Linked DNA regions of Neurospora crassa OR74A. The protein of the gene in region 4 binds, or shares a complex with, the protein of the main gene of each other region. Links are inferred from orthologs where the notes say so. Each region holds a gene or a part of one and is shown on either strand. Other genes may lie near its edges.

Region 1 (3,185 bases), on a different chromosome or scaffold from region 4:
GAGGAGGAGCATCTGACGAAGCGGCGGCGGCGGGGGTTGAGAGAGGGGGTGGAGACGTCGTCGACGAGGTTGGTTGAGCACCACCGCTGGGGGCAGCAGCAGTAGATACGGGTGTTGAGGCGCCTGATCCGCGGTCTGATGCGGCGAGGTTGGCGGCGACGGCAACGTAGGAGGCTAAGAGGAGCTGGCGCTCGAGGCGCTGGGCGGTTTCAAGGTTGCGGCGCGCCGCGAGTTGGGCTTTGCGGAAGGAGGTTCGACAGCTGTATTTTTTTGAGACGCAATTTTGTTAGGTACGTTGTTTATCTTCATCTTCATCATCGTCATCACCATCCAGGCTGAAAAGATGAGAAACAAAACTCACCCCTTAAGCTCGGCAGCCAAGCGTTGCGCGCCCTCCTTTAACCTCGTCTTTTGATGTTCCGCCTCACTCCCTGGGCGGCCGGAGCGCAAGTCGATAATCTCCTCCTGCAGCAACTCCAAATCCTCCTCCTCCTCGCGCAAGACCTGGCTGATTTCGGCGCTCAAGTCAGCGGCCTCACTGTTGGTGGTTCCATCGGCGCCAGTGTTCGCGAGACTGCTGATGCTGTTGCTCAAAGGAACGGAACCGGGCTCGAATTTGAGCGTGGCGAGACGCTCGATGAGGTCCTTAAGCTGGCCGGTCGTCTCTTGGAGGGCCGTGAGCCGCTCTTGAAGCGTTTCGAATGTTGACATTAGTGACTTGTTGTATTATGTCGGTATTGCATTCGTAGGGAGTTGACTCGGTAAAGGTAGATAGATATGTGTTGGAAAAAGGTGGATGTGTAACAAATGGTTTCCATGGATCGTAGTCGGATCCCACTTAGGTACCTGGTGTTGATCAGCAGCTGTGCTGTTGTTGATAATTAGTGGAAACCTGGCCTGAAAGGAGAGCACTGTAGCGATGTTCAATGGAAGTTCTCGGTGGGCGTGGCTCTTGCAACGTCATCCTCAAGGTCAATGAAAACGGATCACATGCGGAATTCGGTAACGGAGTTCAAGTTACAACTCGCTGGGGCAAATGGGAGTACGTACTGTTGCGCTGAAGGAACAAAGCACAAACTTACACACTCAGGGCTACAGACTAACACAATGTAATAGAAGGCCAGAAGTGATTCTCTTCCCGTTCAGAAGATTAAAAAGATGTATTATGTCAATTGATCTGATGTAGTGTAAATATGAATGCAAAATCGAGCCTGACACCGTTTGATCCCAGTTGGCTCCCAACCAATCACAGCCCATCTCTCACACGTAGCACGCGCCGTCCCGCATTCTCCGTTTTACAAAAAACACCCCTCCCGGTCCCCGGCGCAATCGGTACGTACCTCCAGTAATTTTTGATCGCATCCCTCCTCCACGCTGCCGGCCGGCGCCAGGCACGAAGACCGAATCGAAGTCCAAATCGCGACACACAAGCTACGTACCCCGTCCGATCCTCCACAGAGACCCGTCTCCCGTCTCCCGCGTCTCCGTATCCGTCCCCGTCCGGTGTGCAGTGCAGTCCCGTCGTCGCAAATTCGCAAAGTCGCAGTCAGGCCTCCGCGTTCCTCCTGCTTCTTCTTCTTCTTCTTCTTCCTCCCCGAACCCAACCCCAACACGACCTCAGGTCACCACCACCACCACCCGAGAGACCTCGCCCAACATGCTCACCCGCTTCATCACCGACGTATCAACGCGCTTCAACCCTTTCTCGGCCAAGGCCAAGGCCGCCCGGCTCTTCCTCTCCTTCCTCCCTCCCAACGCCCGCTCCAATGGCATGAACATCACCACCCAGCTTCTGCCGCGGAATTCCACCGAGACTCCTTTGCTCTACGTCAAGTTCAGTACGTTTTCCCAATGTCTCTCTTCTTGTCACTTGCAACTCTGTCACACATCGACGGACCGCCGTTGCAGTTGGTTGTTGCAATTTGGATCATTCCGGCTGGAAGGCAATCAAGAGTCGTTAGCTGTGAATCAAGCCGTAGTCTAACGTATTTGAAAAAAAACAGAGGACGGCAAGGAAATGAACCTCGACGTTGAGAACATGGGCATCAAAAGCATTGTCGAGGAGGTGGATCGCCACTCTCGTATCCTTCAGAAGCAGGCCGACTTGAACGACGGTTAACCGAATCTCTGTCTTTCTTTTCTTCTTCAAAACCCAGCAATCTCGAGACGCCCTTGTTGTGTTTTGATCCACCAATCGAACTTTGCGGGTAAAACGAGGGAGACTGAGACTAGGAAAAAGGAGGGAAAAGCCACGGGAAGAGCGACGAAAGCCCATCTTGTCTTGATACCCAGACTACTTGGCTTTGGTCCGTGGTACCAAAATGACGATTGACCGGGAGGAGAAGAGGAAAAGTCTGGATATCTAAAGGCACATTCGAATCACCTGGGTAAAGCCAGCGAGCTTGGAGCCGGATACCTGACGACCTCTCTGAGAGATCTGTAAGATCGCCTTACCAGCCAAAAAGAAGAAAACAACAACAAAAGATATGAACCTGTATTTGTATTGGGCAAGAGGTTGTAAGTGTACACCAACAGCATTGGGAGGCGTTAAGGGGCCGGCGATTTTCAGTTGGCAAGGCAGTTTGGGTACCTGTTGTTATAGACATGCGTATATAGCACCTCTGCCATGGATTGATTCACACACATCACGGTACGCCCATTTTGACAAAGTCAAAGTTGAGATCGGCCTTTTTTTTTTTTTTTGTTTTTGTTTTGGCGACCGTGTTTCCTTCGATGGGGAATTCATCAACGGTATCGGTATATTTCAACGGCGAAACTCATGGCGCAAGAATGTCGAGCATCTCCTCGACAAGTCCCTATCCCACGGCATGGACTACAGCCTCAGAAATGGCCAATCTCTGACCGCGCATACCTTGTTGCAAAGACGTTCGACTCTACGCAAAACAACGCATGAGGGTAACACCATGGAGGATTGTTCACGACGAATTGACCAATACAACAAAGTGCCAATAAATTATCTTTATTCTACCTCAACAAACGAACTCTCTAAGCGGAAGCACCGCTGATGAAGAACCACTTGTCGATGGAGCTATCGATAGGGGCAGGGGGGAGATTCTCGTTGGGAGGGAGGGGAGGAAGCTGGTCAGGGGCAACACGGCTGCTGGAGTGCTGGACAGTGACGTTGGTGGTGGAGACACCGCCAGGGGCAGTCTTGCCGGTGATGA
Region 2 (3,346 bases), on a different chromosome or scaffold from region 4:
GGAACCGCGCAGGATGGCGTCACGGCCCGTGGACTGGATGGCGTTGACGATGGCGGAAGGCGCGGCCGTGCCTTCTATCGTGAGCAGCTGGTCCTTCAGGTTGGCCTCCACTTTGTTGATTCCGGGGAGCTTGTAGAGTGCACCGGAGACGTCGTTCACGCAGCTTTCGCAGTGCATGGGCACGGCGAAGAGAGTCTGTGAAATGAGTTAGTATGATGTGCCTCTGGAAGTATGTCAAGGTGAGTCAGATATGTGAGACAGGCTTGGACCCTTTATCTAAAGAAAAGGAAGGGCTTGGACCGAAGCTCATATGTAGGCATATATGAAAATGAGGCTGTAAAAGGGTATAAACAAACCTTGAAGGGGGTTGTGATGGAAGCCATGTTGCCGGCTATCTTCGGGATTGATGATTTGGGAGCAGCCGGGGATGACTGTGACTGAAAATAGTTCCTATGTTGTTGGCGTTGTTGCCAAAGGTATGCGCCTCCAAAACCTGCTAAAGCTAGACTAGAAATACTTAGGATTTGTCTGGCCGTGTACGGTGGCATCGGTTTCAGGCACTAAGAGGTAGCAAAGACAATACTGAGGACAGTATAGAAGTGGTGGTGTGAGAAGCAACACCAACGTGAGACGATGGATTTGTATAGAAGGCGATGGAGGAGAGCCCCACGTTCGGCGAAGGAGGGGACGACTAGGTACAATTAATAACGTTTTGGCTCCAGTCTACGGATGCTTAAGAGACGGGGTAAATGCGACTCTTGTGCTGAGATTCCTCATTGTTTCTCGACAAGAGAGTGCATGAAGTCACCTCACTGGAGTGCGAAATGTCGTTTTCCCATCTTCACTGTAAGACGGCAGGAAGGTAGATGTCGGCCTGCCAAAATGTTGATTTCAAAGCGACGGCACCTTTCTGGGACCACTTTTTGCGGGCGACCAACTGGGGCTCCGCTGTGTCCGGCTCCTCGATCGGCCCAAGCCAGGGCAATCCTGCTCCCCGAAAGCGTGTGATATGTACCGGGAAAGGAAGTGCAGGCTTTGGTACATGGGACATCAGTAAAAGAGAGCTCTAAGTGCGCCGAGTTGGTGTTTGTTAGTGCTTTCCTCAATTACACACTAAGACTTGCGGACCACCGTAGCCACCCCGCCAACCGCCAGCGGGCCGTCGTGCCCCAATCGTACGTGGAAATTTTCCGGCAAGAAAAGTGATTGCAGCTTTTGGGCTTGGCAGGCTCTGCTGCTGCCCTTCTGCAGGAGCTCCATTCTGCTTCCCGTGATACCGGACCACATTTGATACCCGTTCGCCGCGACAAGCCCCGGACTTTCTCGCGCCTGCCGAACCCGCCGTCTCGAACACTCCGGAGCCCGCCCGATCCCGTGTCATTCAATTGACCCGGACGATAACACATAGAGGTTCACTTACCACCAGTCGATGAGGGACTCGTTCCCACTGGTTTTCATACCTGCCTTCTCCACCTTAATCCTCTCTTGAACACCATAGTATACGACCTACATCACCACCGCGCAACACCGTCAACATGTCGCAAACAGTCGGAGCTGTAAGTTTCTTCCTGTTCGGACACAACTGTCCCATAATTTCGTCGTGTTTCTTACAATTTTGGCACTTGCTCGCCCTCCCGCCACCACCACCACCACCTCCACCACCCGTCACTAACCACCGCCGTCTTGCGACGAACGTGTAGACCCGACTAGCCTACTCCCGTGTCTGGCACCACATCTCCGCCGTCACCCCTCACCCCACCCTCTCGACCATCAAGGCTCCTTCCGAGGCCATCACTCCCCCTTCTCTCGGTCGCCTCGCCTCGCGCATTGCCACCATCCTGATGGGCAAGCACAAGCCGATCTGGGATCCCTCCACCGACTGCGGCGACTACGTCGTGGTGACCAACTGCGCGGGTTTGTACACGACGGGCCACAAGAAGTGGCGCAAGACGTACTACCGCCACAACACCCGGCCCGGTTCGCTACAGGCCATCACCATGGATGCGCTGATGGAGAAGCACGGCGGCGCCGAGGTGCTGCGCAAGGCCGTCAGCGGCATGCTTCCCAAGAACAGGCTGCGCGACAAGAGACTGGCGAGGCTCAAGGCGTTTGAGGGTGATGCGCACCCGTACAAGGAGAACTTGGTGCGATTTGGCGGTAAGGTGGTGGGCGCTCCAGGTTGGGAGGAGGCTGTCAAGGCTATCCGGGAGGCGGACATGGAGAGGTTATGAGCGACCATGGCTTTGAGGTGTGAAGGTCTGGTTGAAGGCGCTGGAGCTGGCTATCTACTCATGGAAGAGTGTCAGAGAAACGGGAGAGAAAGAGATGTAGGGACGAATCTACATCGAGCCGTTACGAACCATCTAGCCGACGAAGACTGAGAACTCTGTCAACTGTGAGGAAGATTGTGTGGACAACCACCTCGTTGGGGCGAGAAATCTCTCTCGTGTGTTCTTGTGTCTGTTACAGCCCACTTGGCCGTGTGATTCACGGGCAATGCCGCCAGTGTCAGTCTGTATATTACATGGGAAGCCGGTTCATGAGCCCAGCGCGCAACGGACAGTGTACGAACTTGGGTTAGAAAAAGGGGGCCTCTCATTGTACAAATATATCACTCAACAAGATACCATGATTACGACTCATGAGAGCTGTTTAGACTCATTGATTGTTTGATCTGATAAGCGATGAGCAGATCCTCATGTCCAACACGCTGAAGGCCCGCGAAGGCAAAAAGTCAGCCTCACCGATTTCACGGCATATTTTTTCACTTGGTAATTCGAGAGTGCAGCTAGCAGTGCTTTTCGGATGCTTGCTTGTTCATAATAGGAAGTTTATTTGATTACCCCTGAAAATTAGCGCCAGTCAAGATGTCCATAGCCTCCGTCTCATGATGATCCGTTGCATCAAGGTATCATCATCTTTCCACCTTCAAAACGTACGCCTGCCCGCCAACCAACCCCTCGGAACGTGAGGGGGAATGCAAAAAAAAAGAAGAAAAAAAAATGGTGATATCATAAAAGAAAGCCAAAGAAACATGTGTGACGTTTTAAAAACAAAGTTCAACAGTCTTACGAGCGAGAGACCTCGCATTTGATGAGACCGTTGGGACCAGACTGGGGAGCGTACACCTCGGCGTCCTTGCCGGTGTTCTGGAGGCCCTTGTGCCAACTGAGATCTGTTTTTTTTTTTTGGGTGTTAGTGTAAATTTATCTGGACCTATTTTTTTTTTTTTTGGTGGATTTGCGAAAGGGGTACTCACCAACTTCAAAGTAGTGCTTGTTGGGTAGCGAATAGTTGGTCTTCTCCGTCTCGGGTACCGCATCCAAGATCTGCTCGCACATCTTGT
Region 3 (3,520 bases), on a different chromosome or scaffold from region 4:
TTGGGGGATGACGACATGAGGGCGATATGGGAAGAGCAGGAGGAGTGGGAGAGGAGTTTGCAGGCGGGGATTGGAGGGATTGGAGGGAGTGGTGGTGCGGGGTGTGGGCATACTACCTCTACCAGTAACGGGGGTGAGAGGGATGATGGTATGAATGGGAATAACATGAAGGAAAAGCCAATGTCGATTAGTGGGGAGATTGCCGAGATGGCGAGGAGGAAGCAGCTGCAGCAGCTGGAAAAGGAGCAACAGGAGAAGCAAGATAAAGATGTGGAGATGACTTCGGGTTAGGAAACCGACGGAGGAGAAGAGAACCTGGGAATTCAAGACCAGTAGGAATGACACGGGTGGTGGATACAAGAGGCGCGCTGGTAGGAGTGCGATAGAAAGAAGAAAATTGAAGGAGGCAAGGAGAAGGAGGTTGAGAATAAGAAACAAGGAAGTTACCGATACATGGGGTATGCATGGGATGGCGTTTATGTTTTTGGCTGTTTAGTTATCTTCGGTATCCATAAGCGAAAGTGGGGAGATACTATTAACTCAGAAGCGGCATCTGCTCACGGTAATATCGTCGACAGACTCTCATGTTTTCGCTGACAACCCGTTCTTCTATCCATCCCAGTTCTCGTAGTATGATATAATGTTACATGTTTCATTGCTTTTTGTACACGTACAAGTGGTATATGTTGTTGTGAGGAATCTGTGTCCGCCACTCCCCCCCTTTCCCCATGAGGATATAATGTAGATGAGACCGAGAATCCCCCTTTATGTGTTTCCCAAGGCCCTGGCATTTCTTCCAACTCTGTCCCGTCATGATCATCATTATAGGAAAAAAAAAAGAAAATATCTTTCCGGCATCTGTGTCAGGAAAAGATCTCCTCGTTTGGTTCTTTTTCTGCGGGGGAGGGACGTGACCATCCTACAAAACAACAACACACATACACACACACACACACGGCGCCTCCACCCACCACACCACCACACAGAGACCATAACCATAGCAACCAACCCTTTTACTAGGCAGAAGCAGCAGTTTAGTCCATGGTGACGGTGGCGCCGAGCTCCTTCATGGCGGCGACAATCTTCTCGGCATCCTCCTTTGGTACCGACTCCTTCATGACCTTGGGCGCGCTCTCGACGAACTTCTTGGACTCTACTAGGGAGAGGCCGAGCAGGTTCTTGACCTCCTTGATGACCTTGGGCTTGGCGGCGGCGTCGAACTTCTCGAGCTTGAGCGTGAACAGCGTCTTCTCGGCAGCGGCAGGGGCGGCCTCCTCCTCCTCAGCGGGAGCGGCGGCGGGGGCAGCGGCGGGGGCGGCAGCGGCGAAACCACCGACGGGGAGATCGGGGATGTTGAGGCGGGACTGTTTTGTGTAAAAGAAGAGAGAGAGAGAGAGAGTGAGTGTTAGTGTTGGTGCCCATGTACATGTGTGCGACTTGAGAGTCTAGGTAGTATAAGATAGGTCTGTCTGTCTGTCTGTCTGTCCGGGGCCGGGCCGGGTCGGGTCGGGTCGGGTCCGGGGCGCAAAAACATCCGGAAACCTTGAAACATGCTCCGATTCGGGTTTTGTGTGTCCCGGTTCCCGGCCCCGGTTGTTCTTCTTCTCGTGCTTTATTTAAATCGGGCGTACCTTGAGGCTGGACACAAGCTCCGAGGTCTCGAGGAGAGTCAGGGTGCTGATCTGGTCAACAATGGCGGCGATCTTGGGGTTGGCGGCAGGGGCGGCGGTGGACTCGAAGCGCTTCTGGACGAGGAGGGAGCTCGAGGCCCGGGTGGATGCGCGGAGCTGGCGGGCGGCGCATTGCGCGGCGAAGCGAACCGAGAGAGACATTGTTGGTATGTGTGTGTGTTGGTGGTGGTGGGTTGTGTGGATGGATGGATGGAGAGAGGGGAGTCGGACTCGGACCGGAGGAAGGAAAGAGAGAGGGCGCGCGGGGGCGGTCGGATTGGGGTTCTCTTTTTTTGGTGAGGGAGGCTTGCCGTCGACGTCGACTTCGAGGATCGTACAACCGAACCGTACAACAACTAAACGGAGATATTTTTTTGGGGACGTTGTCGCGCGCTCCCGGGTGCTGCGAAATCTGGGACCCACTACTGGCAGTTGGCAGCTTGGTGGTTTGGGCGTGCAAGTTGGATCTATGACGGCTGGCTGACCCGGAGCTGCAGCTGGAGGGGAAAACCCAAGCTGCCTGCCCCGCGCGAGTCTGGGGATTAGGTACCTCTGTACCTTGAAGTCCACTGAAGACGCGCTAAAGGATGGGCCCCTGTCATCCCAAGCGCGCCCCTGCTGCCGCTGGGCTGTTCGTCCCACCCGGAACTAGGTTCCACTTTTGAAGAAGATGGCTCCCTTGCCTGCCGCAGCCGACTTACACTACACTATGTAGAGTACTATGCAGTACACCCCAGCACATGCGCCTAGCGCTAAGTAGCATGTACCCCGCACTATCGTTCAGCGCGATAAGGAATTTCATGTGGGAAAAAGTTCCAAACGGGAGAAAGCGAAGTTCAATGGGCAAAAAAGTTAGAGATAAAAAAAAAAAAGAGACTAAGAAAAACATCACCGTTTTTCACAACGACGACGACGACGACGACGACGACATCCACGCCAACCCGTCCCGTCGCTTTTCCCTGGCCATGATGGCCGTGATCGATGTGAGCCAGCAGAGGGCGTCGCTCCTTAGCGATGCGACCACCTTGGACCTCTTGCCGCCAGAGTTGCTGCTCATAATCCAGGATCACCAATCGACCAAATTCCTCGATGCGATCGCCAGCGCCGCTCTTGTCTCGACAGCCACCGACCGCATCTTTACCCATTTCGAGTCTGTTTTTGCCGATATTTGCGCCAGATGGATTCTGTCTTCTCCAAAACTCGATACGCGAGTCCTTGCCGCTTTCGCAAGGATCTTGCCCTTCGCCCCGTCGCTGTCCGTCTTCCTCGTGTCGCATCTTCGAGGAGGATCTTTTGGTGGTGTTAATGGTGGTAACCACAACGACAAAAGCAACGACAATGATGCTTCTTCAAAACTTAAACCTCTCGATTCCCTTGACCTAGCTTCGATCCGCCCAGATGACCTCCCAATTGTCCTCCTAGCCCTCTGGAGGCTCAACAACTTTGACAAGCGCACCTACGCCGGCCTGTCAAAGCCATCCCAAATACAGACCCTGTTCGCACACGAGAACCCCATCGTCCGATATCTTGCCGTCCGAATCTTCTGCCAGCTTCATAATGCCGCCGATGTCAAGATCGAAGCCCTCCTCGAAAAGCACATACCCAAAGATACCAGCCTTGTCGCAGAGCTCGACGGGCGCGAAGCCGACTATGCGTTCCTCAGCCTACACGAGGATTCTAGACGTGAAGACATTCAGAGCTCTCGCAGTAAATCCCAACAAACTAGTGCGGTTGACGATGCGGTTGTCGAATTGAATATCACAAACATCCCAGAACAGAACCTCACTCCTCTAGTTGTCAAATATGGAAAGACAGTCCTCCCGCGTCCCCTCGGCCCTGTGACTGCTCCC
Region 4 (3,632 bases):
TGACGAGATCTACTTCAAGGCGCAGATTCCGTGGATCTCGGGCGAGATGAACCAGCTGCACGGCCGCATCGACATCAAGTTCAATGTCAAGGGCACCAAGCGCACGGGCGTGATGCGCTTCGCCAGCTTCCGGCCCACGCCCCGAGGCATGTTCGAGACGACCGAGTGGAGTCTGGAGACGGAGGACGGCAAGGTCATTGACCTGCTGGAGGAGGGCGATCCGTTCAGAGCTATCAACGGCCGTGCGATGGAACCTGAGCTGGATGATGATGCAGAGGATGCGAAGGTCAGGGGTTTCAGGCAGATGCCCAAGTAATTGTTTTGGGGTGCTCTTAAGGAGGGAATAGTTTTGAAAAAAGGGAGGATATATATGGGAACCGGGGAAGGTGGTGGTCCCCCTCTCCCCCTCTCAAACAGGATGAGCTGAAGGACAGGATCGTGGTCTGGCTCTCTGATTGAATACCCGAAGGCTGTCAAGGAGGAATATGTGTAAGATATAGGGAGAGAACATACGAACCTATCACGGGCAAGGGTTGTATGTTCAAGTTGTTATACATTTTCGGTAGCTGTACATTTTAACACCCCACGATGCGTGTGTATCATACAAGAGAGAACTAAAAAAAATGAGAAACCGGGAAGGCTTTACCATACATTCCCTTCCATAAACCTAGTACAAACACATACTACAGACCAGAGACAGCCCCCCTCTCTTAAGCCGAAGCTTCTACCGCAGCATTTCCATCCGCCTTCTCTGTCAGCCCATTCTTGATGAGCGAATCTATCAGGCCCTGTCTCCTCGCCTCCTTGAGCTCCAAGTGCAACTTCCTCGCCGCCTGCAACTTCTCCTCCGCATCAGGGAACCGCTCGTTGAGGAGCTGCTTGGTGGCCTCGACAAACTCCTCCGGGGGAGGAGCCTTCTTGACAGCATCCTGAACCTTGACAACCGCACCCTTGTGACCAGCGACCGCGCCCTTGACCACCACGATGCCGAGCTCGTTGTCCACCATCAGAATGGGCAGGTTCTGGACCGTGTGCTGCTGCGCGCCCATGCGACCGGGCATCTTCTTGCCGGGCAACACACGCGAACCGGAGCCCTGCGAACCACCGACGGAACCAATGGTACGGTGGTTCAGCGAGTTACCGTGCGACGCCTCCTGACCGGCGAAGCCGTGACGCTTCATACCACCGGCAAAACCCATACCGCGCGTGATGCCGCGCACGTCCACCACCTGGCCGACGTGGAACCAGTCCGGAAACAGCTGGACGCCGACCGGCAACAAGCCGTCCTGGTTGCGCACCTTGAACTCGGCGAGCGTCTGCTTGGGCGGGATGCCCTTGGCCTCGTAGTAGCCGAGCTGCGGGGCGCCCACGTTTTCGGCGCGGCGCTCGCCCAGGCCAACCTGGACGGCCCAGTAGCCGTTCTTGGCGCGCGTCTTGTTGGCGACGACTTGGACCCGGTCGAGCTGCAGAACGGTGCAGGGGATGCGGGCGCCGGTGCGGCCCATGAAGACGGTCATGCCCTTCTTGACAGCGAGCACGCCGGTGCGCAGGGGTGTAGTCTTCTCGCGGCGCTTGAGGGCAGCGGCCGGGCCCGAGGTGGGCGCCGGAAGACCCTGCGTCACTTGGTTGAATCGTGTGGGCCTGCTGCGCTTCGGGAGCGTGCTCCAGCCGTACTTGACGCCGCGCTTTGTGATCTGAGGGAGGAGGGAGGGAAAGACAGTCGATGGCGAGGAGGCGGAGAAGGTGGGTGTGGTCCGGCCGGCGAGGAGGAGGGAGCTGGCGGCGGCGGTGGTTGTGGTGTGGGTGGCTGACCTCTCGACGAGGGAGAGCTGCCTCCAGCAGCGCGCGGGCAGCCGGGGCGCCATCGTGTATGTGTATAAGTCTGAGGGGAGGGTTGGGTGGTGTTGTGTTGCTTTTGGTGGGGTTGGTCGCAGTCAATTGGACCTGACGGTGTTCGTTGTATCGATGTCGGGGCCCCGGAGCGTCGAGTGGGGGGAATGGAAAGGACACCGGCTGTCTTCGAGACGCGAACCGGAGGGGGCGGAGTTGGGAGGTCGTTTCGGCGCGCGGCCGTTGAGGTGGTTTTGGGGCGGGTGCGGGAGTGGTGGTCGCCGGCTCGAAGCACGGAGCAGCAGAAATTTGATAGCCACTCAGAAATTCAGTAACGGGATGCTCCCCCCCCGATAACGTCGATCGGTTCGGCATCCGGGGATTCACAATTGACAGGGGAGGGGCGGCTATTCACAGGCGGGTACTATGTATTTGGCGGATTGTGGTGTACAGAGTGTGACATCTCTACAAGAAGGGTTAGGGTTAATTGCTTCTTTCTATTCACTTAGGTAGTTTTACTTCCGCTGGAGTGCGGGCGCATTTTACCGCATTGGATCCCCCAAACTCAACCGCTAAAACATCTTCACTCGAACCACCACCACACAGCCCCAGAGAAGAAATCGCGTTTTTGCATCTTGGTTTCCCTTCTTGCACGAAGTGTCTTTTTCATTGTCGCCGTTTTGAGATACCCAATATTCCCATCTTTCATTTCTTCCAAAGGCATCAGCAACCATGGTCTTCTATTTCACTTCGACCGTCGTCAGTCCCCCGGCTTTCATTTATGTGGGGAAAGACAAGTTTGAGAGTACGTGAAGATGATCATCAGCCACAATTGGTGGTATTCTGCATCTCCTTGTGGAATATGCATATATCTTGACACACTCATGGACATTGCATATTTGACTTGGATATAGATGTCAGCTCGTCACTCATCTAACATGCTATTTTATAGACGAGGAGTTGATCCAACACGGCTGGGAGGAGGATGTATGGTAAGTTTCACCCCGGCCAAGCCTAGTTCGGCATTTTCTAACTATTCTTCGTAGGGTATGACTCCCCATGAGGTTCTCGTCATATTATGCTCTGTTTCTCATTACTAGGCCCTACTTAGTTCCATGTCGACAAACTTTCCAGTGCTCATATCTACCTCCGTCTCCCAGAGGGTTGGACATGGGAGAACATTCCCGAGGAGCTCCTGACCGACCTTGGTCAGTTGACCAAGGCCAACTCCATCGAGGGTAAGTTGCTGCTTTTGAATTCTACTGTCAGGAAGTCATGGGGGAATTCGTGAGGACTAACTCTGTGCTTTTGTAAAGGTAACAAGAAGGACAACATCACAATCATCTATACCCCATGGGCCAATCTCAAGAAGGACGGCAGCATGGCGGTCGGCCAGGTCAGCTTCAAGGATCAGAAGAAGGTGAAGCGCATTTTGATCGCGCAGCGCGAAAATGCTATCGTCAACCGTCTGAACAAGACCAAGGTTGAGAAGCACCCGGACCTGCGAGAGGAGAAGGAGCAGCATCTCAAAGAGCTGCGCAAGAAGGATCAGGCGGCGGTGCTGGCGCGGAAGAAGGAGGAGGATCGCCTGAAGAAGGAGCGGGCCGAGAAGAAGTGGCAGAAGGATCATGCCTACGATGAGCTCTTTGCTGAGGAGAACATGATGAACTCGAGCAATCAGGATCGGGATGAGACCTGGGAGGATGATTTCATGTAAATTTGCTTGAGAACAAAAGAAACAAACCTACTGAAGTTTTCCAAGCTACATAAGACCTGAAAATCCTTTGATGCCCGAAAGCCAT
Region 5 (3,577 bases), on a different chromosome or scaffold from region 4:
TGTTTCCGTCAGCAATTGAGAGCTGAAGCTGACCGCAAAGTGAATGAATAGTGCACTCTCTCGGCCTCAGGTCTCACGATGTGTGTCTGCAACGAAGCCAAGTGCAGCCAATGCGACTCGACAGTGGCTGACAATGACAGGCGCAGTCAAGTGATGGTGGTGGTGGTAGTGGTGACAGCCAAGGTCACAAAGTATTGAAATTCAAGCTGAAGCTGCAGCTTTGATCGAAAGGGACAGACTTGTTGTTGTTGTGGGTGGTGGTTGACGGGAGGACAAGGACGTGGTCGCGAATGAGGTTGCAAAGAAGGGCGGGCGGGCGGCCGAACCCTTGAGAAAGCTGAAGAGCTGAGTGGGAATGACTGGGGATGGAGGTCAAGCTTGGGTGAGGGTCCTTTTGCGGTCCGAGTCTTGTTGGTGGTTGGTCGGACTCGGGGGGAAATGGAGTTGGAGTGGTCCGGCGAGGCGGGTTGCCGTCATATGTATTCTTGTACTTGTTGTCTGTCTATGAATTCCTGAACTCAAGTGTGAAAGTGCGAGGAAACTGCAAGGTGGTGCGGGCTTCTTGCTTTTGGCTGCAGGGATATGAGGCAATAGCCTTGTTTGAGGGCCTTGCTATTTTACCTGGAGCTGTAACAGGAAGAACAGCAACAAACCGTTTGGTGGCAGTGAAGCTGAGGTGAGAATAAGCTGAAGCTCAAGGTAAAACTGCTCAAATCGATTGGAGAACAGGGAAAAAGGGGACGAGCAGAAACAAAACAAAAGGGGGCCCGGCATTGCAAATCTTCGCCTCTTTACTCCTCTTTTCACGATCCCACCTGTTGCCGTGGTAGCGGTGGTCTAGCCAAATTCCGAAAGACACAATTGGAGAATCAGCCGACGGGGGAGCGGGGACTTGGGGGAGAGTGGGAGACACCATCCTGGCTGGAGCTTGGTTGCGCCGAGGTTGTCATTGGTGGTTTGGGTCAGGGCTGATGGAATGTTTCTAACCAGATGGGGATGTTGCTAGCAATGGACGACTTGAGTCTCAACGATCATCTGGGGTACGCTTTCAGAGATGGGTACTGTATGTATATCGCTGTCTAACTTGCCTCTGGAGTCGTCGGGTAGAGATACTATGACAAGCTGTTTGCAAGCTGACTTGAGATGGTACATGCCCGGGCTAGCTGTCTGATTGTGTCCAGAATGGCCGCACTCATTATCTTCCTTGACAAATACAGACGATTCAACAGTTCATTGTCCAATAATGACTTCTCATAAAATGTGCTCATTGTTAAACTCTTCTTAACATCAACTACGGTCATTGAGTCCTCACATGTTCTGTTGCTGATGCCTCAGACTCTCACACTTTCAGAGCTTCAACTACAGCTACTTCCCGAAAGCGTTAGTGTAGTCAAAAAAGCAGCTATGTAAAGAGCATGCATGAGACACCCCTCCCGACTGGCTCCACACTCTTCGTCCAAGTTTTGGCGCGTCCCCTTCTTCTCTCTTTTCTCGCGTTACTTAGGAGCCTGCTTACCTAATGCAGGGTACGTACCTCTAACCTGGCATCCCCGTCCCGCAAACAATTTTCGATGGGGTCCCCGCGTCCGGCGGGCACGACGGACAGCAGCCGGCCGGCCGGTCATCAATCAATCAATCAATCGATCGATACGCGGCGTCAACCGTGGAATCCCCATTCAGTTGCCGGGTTTCGGTCCTCTCGACAGCCAACTAACTTCAGCCACTACTCGCTCGGTAACAGGGACAGAGTAACCGGTTGCCCAAGATGATTCAACTAAAGGTTTGTTTTTTTTTCTTCTTCCCTTGCTGTCGAACGAAAGCAAAAAGAGTTTGGTTGCTAACGAACCATGCGAACTGCAAACAGACGATGCTCAACTGCATCGACAACTCGGGTGCTGCCCTGGTGGAATGCGCCATGGTTGTCGGCCAAAAGAGGCATGCTTCGATTGGTATGCTTTCGAATTCCCTTTCGATTTCCGTTATACACCCACGAACCCATCGTCGACTCGAGCATATCATATCTACACGAACTACCCGATCCCTCTTTCGTACCCCAACACCAACACCGTCGTCGCCGTTCATACCCGTCCCATCCCGTCCGATTCTTCTCGTCCGACCAAGGAACATCTGGTCTTATACACATATCATACTTGCCTCTTGCCCCTCTTGTTCCTCCCTCCCCCTTCTTTCCCCCCTCTTGTCCCCCTCCCCCTTCTTTCCCCCCTTCTTTCCCCTCCTCATACCTCAACTAACAGAAGAAAGGCGACCGCATAGTAGTAGTCGTCCAAAAACAGCGCGGCGCCGACTCGGCCGGCATGGCCGCCTCTTCGGCCGCCACCAAGGTGAAGCGCGGCGACATCCGCCACGCCGTGGTAGTGCGCACCAAGCAAAAAGTCCAGCGCCGCGACGGTTCGGTCGTCCGGTTCGACGACAACGCCTGTGTCTTGATCAACAAGGCCGGCGACCCGATCGGATCGCGCATCAATGGTGTGGTGGGCCAGGAACTGCGAAAGAAAAAGTGGAGCAAGATATTGAGTATGGCGCCTATGCAGGCTTAGCTAGGCTTGATTGATCGATCAGGGAGGATATATGTACGATGGATGTAGCGGGAGAATCAAGATGGAATGAAATATGAATACCCGTAAAGAAAAAGAGTTGAGTTTGTTGGGGTGGGATGTGGCGTGACGCTCCTTGAAGTGAAGAGGAGTATGCTCGGTGGGATGTGTCATTGCGGTGACTTGGTGACTCTCGTGGGGGGTTTGGGTGTCGGCTCAGCTTGGGTTGGCTGTGTTGAGGTAATGACTGACGATGAGCGCTACGGAACATCACTTTGTTGATATCTGACGGAACTGTGGTTTGTGTGTCTACGGATTTCCAGGATGGACTTGGGATGGCCTGGCGTATACGGGTTTGAGACTGCGACGTTGTTCTCAAGGTACGACGGCTTCACACACCGGACATCACACCAAAATATGGTCTCATCGAACGGCCTTTCTTCAAGCGCCATTTTGGGTAACGATCAGCCAGCAGCAGCCGTCACATCAGTCGATTAGGTTTACCAGTCACTTCAGTTCGGGACATCAAGCGTGCCGTCCTAATCTGTGTATACTACTGTACATTACATGTCATGTCAAGCAAAACAACATCACCATTGCATATCACACGAAACAGTTTATAACGTTATCCACGAGATTCATGGAAAGACCATTTCTAAACCAGTGTCCTGCCAAAGCATGAAAAAGAAAACCAAACGCCCTAAACCGCGGTCCTTTTGAGTTAACCGTGTACAAACGCCACTGTAATGCAACTCATCATGACCCCCTGATCTTTATTAATCAACCTGTGATTTTTTCCGACCGCCCGCCTGTCCGCCTATAACAAGGATCGATCTGGCCCTATTCCTTCCGAGTGAAGAGTGAATCCCCCACTACTGGTAAATATTACCACAATCGCAGCAGACGTAGAAAAGTTTCTGAAAGTAACGTTGTTAACCCATGACTCTGGTGAGCCCCTCCCAGGCAGGTGAGTGAGTCTTACCATTCCGGTTTCCGAAGTACGCTGCTGTGACTGGAAGAAG
Region 6 (2,956 bases), on a different chromosome or scaffold from region 4:
TCTTGTTGGCGCCAGAATCAGGGCATATGGACCGTCGTTCTTGTTGTACTCGGTCAGGGGTGGTAGTTCGGAGATGTAAACCAGCAGAGGCAGCAAGAAAGCTGCAGTTTTACCGGAACCCGTCACGGCCACACCGATCAAGTCGCGTGCTTGAAGGGCAATGGGAATGGCAGCTCTCTGAATCGGCGTCGGCTCGTCGTAACCCACGTTCTTGACAATGTCGAGCAGACGCCTAGGCAGCGTGGACTCTTCCCAACTGCGCATAGGGTTGGGAATGGCACCGCCCTTGGTGGCAATGCCAAAGTTTTCCTTGAAGATACGCCAATCGCGCTCCTTCATGTCCTCCAGCTTCTTCTCGGACCAGTGCTTGCCCAGGTTCTTGCGCTGTTCCATCTCCTTGATCCGTCTGTGTTGTTCCAGGTATTGCCTGGCGCGCTCCTCGCCCGTCTCGGGATCGCCACGACGGATGGCTTCGGCCTTCCGCATCACCATCTCTTCCGTCATCTCGTAACCACCAAGTCGGACCAGAGGCTCTTGACGCTCTGCGTAGATGGGGTCGAAGGGTCGGCTAGTGTCGTCATCGGCATCCCAGTCAAAGTTGAACTTGTTCGCTGCCGTCCTCCTCCTCTTCTTCTTGGCCGAGAATGTGGACTGATTTACTACTGGACCCATGTAGCGGGCGCGCAGCTCTGCCTCGTCGTTCCTCTCCATCTTGGCTCGCTTCTCTTCGTCATCGTTGGGTGCGCCGCGTTTTGCGCCCCGTTGGTTTCTGTCTCGGTTATCTCTGTTGTCGCGATTGTCTCTGTAGTCCCGACCGTTGCTCATGCCGTTGGGTCCCCGGTCATCGTCGTACCGCATCGCCTTGGGTCCGGTTGGGATGTTTCGTTGAGGGTTGTGGTTGTGATGACTCTGGATACCGTCCATGCGGTTGCCGTTATGATTTGTTCCATTTGGTTGAGGCTTGGCTTCTTCCTTGCGCTTGCGTTCCTCTTCTTCCTTTGCCTTTTTCTCGGCTTCTAGCCTCTCTCGTTCCTTTTTGGGGATGAATCTTGGTTTCGCGGCGGCGGCTTCTTCCTCCTTCTTCTTGCGCAGCAGTGCTGCCAGGTCTGGGGGTTCCCGTCTTGATGTCGTGCTCATCGTGGTAGTGTATGGAGTTGGTGATGAATCGAAGGAAGAGACTGGTCGGAGGCGACAGTGTTGACAATAAACGTGTTGATTTCCAAGCAGTGCTGGGTTCCGGAATGGGGTTGTTGTTATGGCGAACTTGGGTGGTTCTGGGGTGCAGCAGCGGTGCAGCACAGTTCTCGACCCGCCCAAAAGTTATGTCACGGTTCAAGGTCGGTGATCCCTGTCGTGCCTGTTCAAGGGTCTCCACATGCCCCGCCTTACGCGGGGGGTTAAAGAGGTCGGGTTAGGGCTCAAAGTGTAACTTCCGGCTGTCGCTATGTACCGTTTCGCGACCTGGAACTTTTTCGCAGTTGGGGTCCCGTCGGCGGCCGATTGATCGCAAAGTTCCCCGTTCCGGTTCGTTCGAGCAATCCGGACCCTGTCACCTACGACAAAAACAAACAAACAAACAACCCCCCCCCCCACCTCGACCGACACAGTACCGCCAGCAGGCCGGTCGATCGACATCTTCACCATGGCGGCCACGGTGAAGCAGCACGTCCAGCTGGCGCTTTCGCTCCCACCGCGGTTGCGCACCTTCTTGGCCCGGTACCCGCCGGCCTCGATCCTGCCCGCCGGCGCCGACCCCGAGACGCACAAGACGCCCTACCAGGAGGAGAGCCCGAACCCGTTCATGCCCACCAAGCACCCAATCACCGGAAAGTGGCACAACCCCAAGTACTCGCTCAGGCGACAGGCCGAGCTCGTCAAGCTGGCCCAGGAACACGGCGTCGAGGAGCTGCTGCCCTTCACCCGCAAGCTCAACGAGGAGAAGCTACGGAAGAGAGTCGAGCTCGGTCTCCGTGTCAAGGGTACCGGTGTTGGAGAGAAGGTCAAGGGTCACAAGCACGAAAGGACACTGGTTGCCAAGTACGTTGTCGATCCTCGGCTGCTGCTGCTGCTGCTGCTGCTGGTTGGGAGGAAGTGGTGGTTTGCTGACGGTGGATTTCGCACACAGGATGGAGAAGAGGAGAGAGGCCATGCTGGCTATGCCCGACCTTATCCGGGAATGGAAAAAGGTAAGGATTGCGCCCAAACTCTTGCGGTTTGCACTCTTGTTAACCATGGGCTTCGCTACAGGTCGGCAAGAGGAACTGGACCAAGTTCCCCAAATAAGCGATCGGTTGTTGTCGCTTGTCGGGAAGATTACAACGAGAGTCACTGCCATGTCCATAGACTGTATCATCACCAACAATGTACAACAAATTTCAAGCCATTTGGAAGGGGATTGCCATCAATGTGGTTCTGTTTCCCGGTTGTTGACTGAACGTCCTCTGGCGTCTTATAAGACGGAGTTCCCCACTGTGGTTGGAGGCCGAGACGAGGTAATGTGTCTAACGGTGCAGTAAAATTTCCCCCCCGAATTTGTTTCTCTGAACAACTCACTTCACGATACCAGGCACACAACTAAGACTCAAACCACCACGTGAGAACCGACACATCACACATCCTCTTTTTTTTGCCTATTCACATTTCCTACTGTATACAGCAACATAACAAGGGCAGCGAGCGCAAAGAGACACGTGATTGCGGGATACAAACTTTTCTCTCGAAAGCTGCTCGACGCAAACCACCAACCTTTCACCACTTACACGTCGATACATTTCAACACCAAACCGGTCTCACAACCATACCATTTTATACCCGGGGCCGCACTACCAAACACCACATTGAACACCAAACCGCAAAACCACCAACACATCCAAGATGTCCCAACCAACCTTCTACGAAATCCTCTCCCTCTCACCCACCACCTCCGACCTCACCCCCGCCTCGATCAAACAAGCCT
Region 7 (4,063 bases), on a different chromosome or scaffold from region 4:
GCCAGAATCCCAAGTTCAACCACTCAACAACTTGGACTGAATACGTATTCCGGTTACGGATTGAAAATTCCCCGAGGTTTATCGATCCTCTCGCGGCTGTATGACTGTGGATAAGATCAAACAGCAGAAAAAGGCATCGTCCCATACTTTCTACTCCAAAATTCTCTTCGTTTTCTCCCTCATCGTCCTCATCCTGGCTATCTTCAGTTCCCGCATCTCCTTTCCCCGGCTTTCCCTCATTGCGAGCCATTTGACTGGCAGTGCCAACACAATCACAGCAACCAGCCGCTCAACCATTACAACTACATCTACACAGAAGATGGCCTCTTCCCAGTACGCAAAGGAGCTCGAGGTAGCTCAGCTCGCCGTCCAGCGGGCCGCCCGCCTCACCAAGCGCGTCTTCCACGAGAAGGCCAAGGGCACCGTTTCCAAGGACGACAAGTCCCCTGTGACCATTGGCGACTTTGGCGCTCAGGCGCTCATCATCAGCGCCCTCAAGGCCAACTTTCCTTCGGACGAGATTGTGGCTGAGGAGGAGGCCGCTCAGCTGCGCGAGGACACCCCCCTGCGGGACCAGATCTGGGAGCTCGTCAAGTCCACCAAGCTTGACGATGAGGCTGCCGAGCAACTCCTTGGCGGCGCCATCAAGGATGCCGACGCGATGCTGGAGATCATCGACCAGGGCAACAGCAAGGGCGGCGCCAAGGGCAGGATATGGACTATCGACCCCATCGACGGCACCAAGGGCTTCCTGCGCGGTGGACAGTATGCCGTGTGCTTGGGACTGATGGTGGACGGTGACGTCAAGGTCGGTGTTCTCGGTTGCCCGAACCTGCCTGTGGACGACGCTGCGCCGTTGGCTGCGGATATCGGCACCAATGCGACCGATGAGGGCCGGGGTGTCATCTTCTCGGCCGTTCAGGGCCAAGGCGCGACTAGCAGACCCCTGGGCACCGCCGGTCTTGCGGAGGGCAAGTCCATTGCGATGAAGCCTATTACAGAGATGTCCAACGCCAGCTTCTGCGAGAGCGTGGAGGCGGGTCACTCGGATCAGGGCGTGGCTGGACAGATTGCGCAGAAGCTCGGGATCACCAAGCCTAGTGTGCGCATGGATTCCCAGGCCAAGTACGGCTCTATTGCTCGCGGCGCGGGTGATATCTACCTCCGTCTGCCTACTTCCAAGTCTTACCAGGAGAAGATCTGGGATCACGCTGCTGGAGATCTGATTGTGCGTGAGGCTGGTGGTCAGGTTACCGACGTGAGTGGAAACCGCCTGGATTTCAGCGTCGGCCGCACGTTGGCTGAAAACAAGGGTGTCATTGCGGCGCCTGCTGCGGTCCACGACCAGGTCATCAAGGTCGTTCAGGAAGTTCTCGGGCAGCAGTAAAGCCTCGGTGTCATAGTGTACAGGTTATGGCAGGTATCGGGCCGTTATGAGGCCATGTGTGTGCCAAAAAAAATAATAGACTAAATGTACAATATTCCCCCCTTATCCTCATCAACAACCATATCAGCCACCAAAACCCACCGCGCGTCCTCTATTTGATCTTCTTCTGCTTCAACTTGATGGTCTCGCCGTTGACAAAGATACCCTTACCCTTGTAGGGTTCCGGTACACGCCACCTCCTGATATCAGCGGCGAAGGTCATGACCTGCTCTCTGTTGATGCCCTCAAGCAGGATTCTTGTCGGCTGCGGCGTGCTGGCCTTCATGCCCTTGGGAACGCCCATCTCGACGGGGTGGGAGAAACCGAGCTTGAGGCAGACGAACTGCTGGCCGGGGTATTCCTCCTTCTCGGGGCGGGTGTCGATTGTAGCTCTGTAACCGATACCGACCAAACGCAACACGGCCGTGTGACCTTCTGATACACCCATAATGAAGCGGTTGAGGTACGCCCATGTTGTTCCTGTTTTGTCCAAGAAAGATTCGAAATCGTCAGCTGACTGGCCGCCCGTAACTTTCCACATTCTCCAAGACAAGGAAGGTGTTTGCCATACCCCACATCTCTCTCTGCTCCTTCTCGTCCCGGTTCGCTACGCTGAGGGTCGCTCTCCTTGCCTCGGCGTCGTGGTCGATCTTGATGAAGTCGGGAATGTCCATCTCGAGTTGTCCTGTGAAAAAGCACACGCACACGTGCAACAAGTCAGCCAGCTGCTCTGCTCCCATCCTAGTCCCCTTTGCACTCTCGCGCAAACACCCATAAACAACGTTCTCTCTCGGGCCTCTCCCAGCCCATCTGTTGCGCCCGCTCCAGTTTCGTTGCGTATCCTCAAATAAAACACCCATCTGGTCCTTTTGCCAAGTCGATTTTACAATAGAACAAACTAACCCAACGGGCCCTGCACCGTAATCTTGCGCTTAGGCTGCTGCTTCCACTGCGTCATGTCGCGCTTGACGAAGGGCTCGCCAATGGTGATCTCGACGCCAGGAGGGATACTGAGCGGGGTGCGGCCGAGCTTGGACGGGCGGGTTGTCGTCGCGGAAAAGTTGCGCCGGGCGGCGGCACCGGCAGTCTGTTGGAAGGCGGGCACCAGGAAGCCGGGGAGTGTGACGACGGGAGAAGATGAGGAAGAGGCAACGGCCTCAAGGACCCTCCTTCGGCTTGGGGCGAACATCGTGGTGAGTGTCGTCGTCGTCGGCAGGGTGGTGGCCGTCGTCACGATGCGGAACCGGAATTGGCGAAGAGACGCGGCGCTCCAGTTCGGAGGTTCTGGCAGTCGCAAGGGCAGCACCGAGTCAATGGCAAGCCGGCCGGGTGGTGGGATGAACCGAGTGGATCTTCGGAGAGCTCCAAAAAATGTATCGGACCTGACGCGGCACAGCAATGCAGCTAGTGATTGGCTGTAAATACAACAGGGTTAGGGTCGTATCCGCATAGTCTCGCTGCTGCTATTCGCTTGGGCTAAGAAACAACGACGAACACCAACAGATGTTATTCCATCCGACATCATTCATCTCGAGTAAGAAATCTTCAAAAAGAAAATGGCACAGGGCGTGGAAGTGTAGAGTTTACTCGATGGAACATATTGTTTCACAATATTCAGATTGAATGTTGAATTAATCTCCCGTTCGACAATCGTCCAGCTTTCCGATGACGACTTTACGGATGCCAACCTCACGATAGTCATCACCACCCAGAACACCCGTCACGGTCGAAGTCTTCCAAACTGTCTCAAGCGAGCTGTTTGCACTTTCTCGATACCGGATGAAAAGATGCAGATTCCAGTGATGTCAAGACAAGTGGTCTACAGCCCAAATCTTTGTCTAGGCTCGCTTCTGTTGGAGAGGACAGCGTCACATCAGACGATTAAGAACCAGCAAAAGTCGAGCTCGGCAGACAATCACAGTCATATTCGATGCGAACTTCAAGTGAAGTCATTTCACACGAAACCTTTTCGCGGTTTCACAATCCTGTGATTCTTGTCCCGCTAAATTCAAGTCCGCTTCTCTTATCCTGGGCAGTCGCGATCGCCAACTTACCCTCATACACCTTCCTTCCTTCCCTCTCTTGAATCGCTCCTTCTCTTCAAAAACACCACAGAATTTTCAGTTGCATGGCCACAAACTTCGATCGCCAAAATTGCACTACCAATATTGCCAGAATCTCCATTTCTTACTGCCGAAGTCCCTTCGACGGCACTCTTCTGGACGCATCTGACTTTATCAGTATATCATCATCAGCCTGTCGCATTGCACTTACATGACAACTATGGCCAGGAAGCTTCTCTTCACGGCTCTCTGTGCCGTTACAGCTACACCTTCTCTGGCCTTTTCGTGGGGAGGTGAAAGAAAAGTGGCAGTTCGTAAGTAATATCAGAGCACTGCCTGCAGGGCTTGACTAATAATATGACCGCAACACAGCCGACCATCAAGTCAACATCGACCGCAACATCCAGCCTTCGGATCTGCTTCGAGCGTCCTCACGCCTACCAAATATCTACGCCGTCGCCCTAAGTGAACTTCAAGAACTCGAATCAGAACCGTTTTGCCATCGTGTGGCCGCCCGACTCCTAGTCAACAACTGCCAGCTGGTAGACGGAAAGAACGACGCCACAATCCTCAC

Evidence for each region.
Region 1: NCU06749 (region 4) and NCU00952 share a complex: the UniProt entries of both Saccharomyces cerevisiae proteins name them as parts of the mitochondrial large ribosomal subunit. The link is inferred for Neurospora crassa OR74A from reciprocal best matches to the Saccharomyces cerevisiae genes MRPL9 and MRPL44.
Region 2: NCU06749 (region 4) and NCU07852 share a complex: the UniProt entries of both Saccharomyces cerevisiae proteins name them as parts of the mitochondrial large ribosomal subunit. The link is inferred for Neurospora crassa OR74A from reciprocal best matches to the Saccharomyces cerevisiae genes MRPL9 and MRPL23.
Region 3: NCU06749 (region 4) and NCU06469 share a complex: the UniProt entries of both Saccharomyces cerevisiae proteins name them as parts of the mitochondrial large ribosomal subunit. The link is inferred for Neurospora crassa OR74A from reciprocal best matches to the Saccharomyces cerevisiae genes MRPL9 and MNP1.
Region 5: NCU06749 (region 4) and NCU08552 share a complex: the UniProt entries of both Saccharomyces cerevisiae proteins name them as parts of the mitochondrial large ribosomal subunit. The link is inferred for Neurospora crassa OR74A from reciprocal best matches to the Saccharomyces cerevisiae genes MRPL9 and MRPL38.
Region 6: NCU06749 (region 4) and NCU02804 share a complex: the UniProt entries of both Saccharomyces cerevisiae proteins name them as parts of the mitochondrial large ribosomal subunit. The link is inferred for Neurospora crassa OR74A from reciprocal best matches to the Saccharomyces cerevisiae genes MRPL9 and MRPL25.
Region 7: NCU06749 (region 4) and NCU04068 share a complex: the UniProt entries of both Saccharomyces cerevisiae proteins name them as parts of the mitochondrial large ribosomal subunit. The link is inferred for Neurospora crassa OR74A from reciprocal best matches to the Saccharomyces cerevisiae genes MRPL9 and MRPL6.

What each region holds. Positions count from the first base shown.
Region 1 is NC_026501.1:6,595,341-6,598,525, forward strand, and holds NCU00952 (mitochondrial 54S ribosomal protein YmL44), read left to right. Parts: upstream 1-1,363; 5' UTR 1,364-1,657; coding exon 1,658-1,838; intron 1,839-2,003; coding exon 2,004-2,119; 3' UTR 2,120-2,685; downstream 2,686-3,185. Other genes in the region: NCU00953 (hypothetical protein), read right to left, coding at 1-260, 362-711; NCU00951 (inorganic pyrophosphatase), read right to left, coding at 3,007-3,185. UniProt on the Saccharomyces cerevisiae protein: Component of the mitochondrial ribosome (mitoribosome), a dedicated translation machinery responsible for the synthesis of mitochondrial genome-encoded proteins, including at least some of the essential transmembrane subunits of the mitochondrial respiratory chain.
Region 2 is NC_026503.1:1,107,974-1,111,319, forward strand, and holds NCU07852 (mitochondrial 54S ribosomal protein YmL23), read left to right. Parts: upstream 1-1,207; 5' UTR 1,208-1,535; coding exon 1,536-1,556; intron 1,557-1,700; coding exon 1,701-2,231; 3' UTR 2,232-2,846; downstream 2,847-3,346. Other genes in the region: NCU07851 (superoxide dismutase 1 copper chaperone), read right to left, coding at 1-195, 357-548; NCU07853 (uricase), read right to left, coding at 3,069-3,175, 3,260-3,346. UniProt on the Saccharomyces cerevisiae protein: Component of the mitochondrial ribosome (mitoribosome), a dedicated translation machinery responsible for the synthesis of mitochondrial genome-encoded proteins, including at least some of the essential transmembrane subunits of the mitochondrial respiratory chain.
Region 3 is NC_026503.1:1,524,674-1,528,193, reverse strand, and holds NCU06469 (putative mitochondrial 54S ribosomal protein MNP1), read right to left. Parts: upstream 2,051-3,520; 5' UTR 1,833-2,050; coding exon 1,632-1,832; intron 1,365-1,631; coding exon 1,035-1,364; 3' UTR 501-1,034; downstream 1-500. Other genes in the region: NCU06470 (hypothetical protein), read left to right, coding at 1-291; NCU06468 (midasin), read left to right, coding at 2,636-3,520. UniProt on the Saccharomyces cerevisiae protein: Component of the mitochondrial ribosome (mitoribosome), a dedicated translation machinery responsible for the synthesis of mitochondrial genome-encoded proteins, including at least some of the essential transmembrane subunits of the mitochondrial respiratory chain.
Region 4 is NC_026502.1:2,066,040-2,069,671, reverse strand, and holds NCU06749 (mitochondrial 54S ribosomal protein YmL9), read right to left. Parts: upstream 2,209-3,632; 5' UTR 1,866-2,208; coding exon 711-1,865; 3' UTR 501-710; downstream 1-500. Other genes in the region: NCU06748 (hypothetical protein), read left to right, coding at 1-316; NCU06750 (coiled-coil domain-containing protein 25), read left to right, coding at 2,563-2,635, 2,783-2,822, 2,965-3,068, 3,147-3,547. UniProt on the Saccharomyces cerevisiae protein: Component of the mitochondrial ribosome (mitoribosome), a dedicated translation machinery responsible for the synthesis of mitochondrial genome-encoded proteins, including at least some of the essential transmembrane subunits of the mitochondrial respiratory chain.
Region 5 is NC_026503.1:4,951,434-4,955,010, reverse strand, and holds NCU08552 (mitochondrial 54S ribosomal protein YmL38/YmL34), read left to right. Parts: upstream 1-1,468; 5' UTR 1,469-1,765; coding exon 1,766-1,780; intron 1,781-1,864; coding exon 1,865-1,949; intron 1,950-2,262; coding exon 2,263-2,558; 3' UTR 2,559-3,077; downstream 3,078-3,577. Other genes in the region: NCU08553 (DNA directed RNA polymerase II 15 kDa subunit), read right to left, coding at 3,428-3,472, 3,538-3,577. UniProt on the Saccharomyces cerevisiae protein: Component of the mitochondrial ribosome (mitoribosome), a dedicated translation machinery responsible for the synthesis of mitochondrial genome-encoded proteins, including at least some of the essential transmembrane subunits of the mitochondrial respiratory chain.
Region 6 is NC_026501.1:9,064,477-9,067,432, reverse strand, and holds NCU02804 (mitochondrial 60S ribosomal protein L25), read left to right. Parts: upstream 1-1,450; 5' UTR 1,451-1,642; coding exon 1,643-2,037; intron 2,038-2,125; coding exon 2,126-2,186; intron 2,187-2,247; coding exon 2,248-2,283; 3' UTR 2,284-2,456; downstream 2,457-2,956. Other genes in the region: NCU02803 (pre-mRNA-splicing ATP-dependent RNA helicase prp-28), read right to left, coding at 1-1,137; NCU02805 (diphthamide biosynthesis protein 4), read left to right, coding at 2,875-2,956. UniProt on the Saccharomyces cerevisiae protein: Component of the mitochondrial ribosome (mitoribosome), a dedicated translation machinery responsible for the synthesis of mitochondrial genome-encoded proteins, including at least some of the essential transmembrane subunits of the mitochondrial respiratory chain.
Region 7 is NC_026506.1:2,634,633-2,638,695, reverse strand, and holds the start of NCU04068 (mitochondrial 54S ribosomal protein YmL16), read right to left. Parts: upstream 2,801-4,063; 5' UTR 2,616-2,800; coding exon 2,330-2,615; intron 2,112-2,329; coding exon 1,998-2,111; intron 1,907-1,997; coding exon 1,539-1,906; 3' UTR 1,388-1,538; coding exon of another isoform or gene 101-1,387; 3' UTR 1-100. Other genes in the region: NCU04069 (3'-phosphoadenosine 5'-phosphatase), read left to right, coding at 101-1,387; NCU04067 (hypothetical protein), read left to right, coding at 3,710-3,803, 3,862-4,063. UniProt on the Saccharomyces cerevisiae protein: Component of the mitochondrial ribosome (mitoribosome), a dedicated translation machinery responsible for the synthesis of mitochondrial genome-encoded proteins, including at least some of the essential transmembrane subunits of the mitochondrial respiratory chain.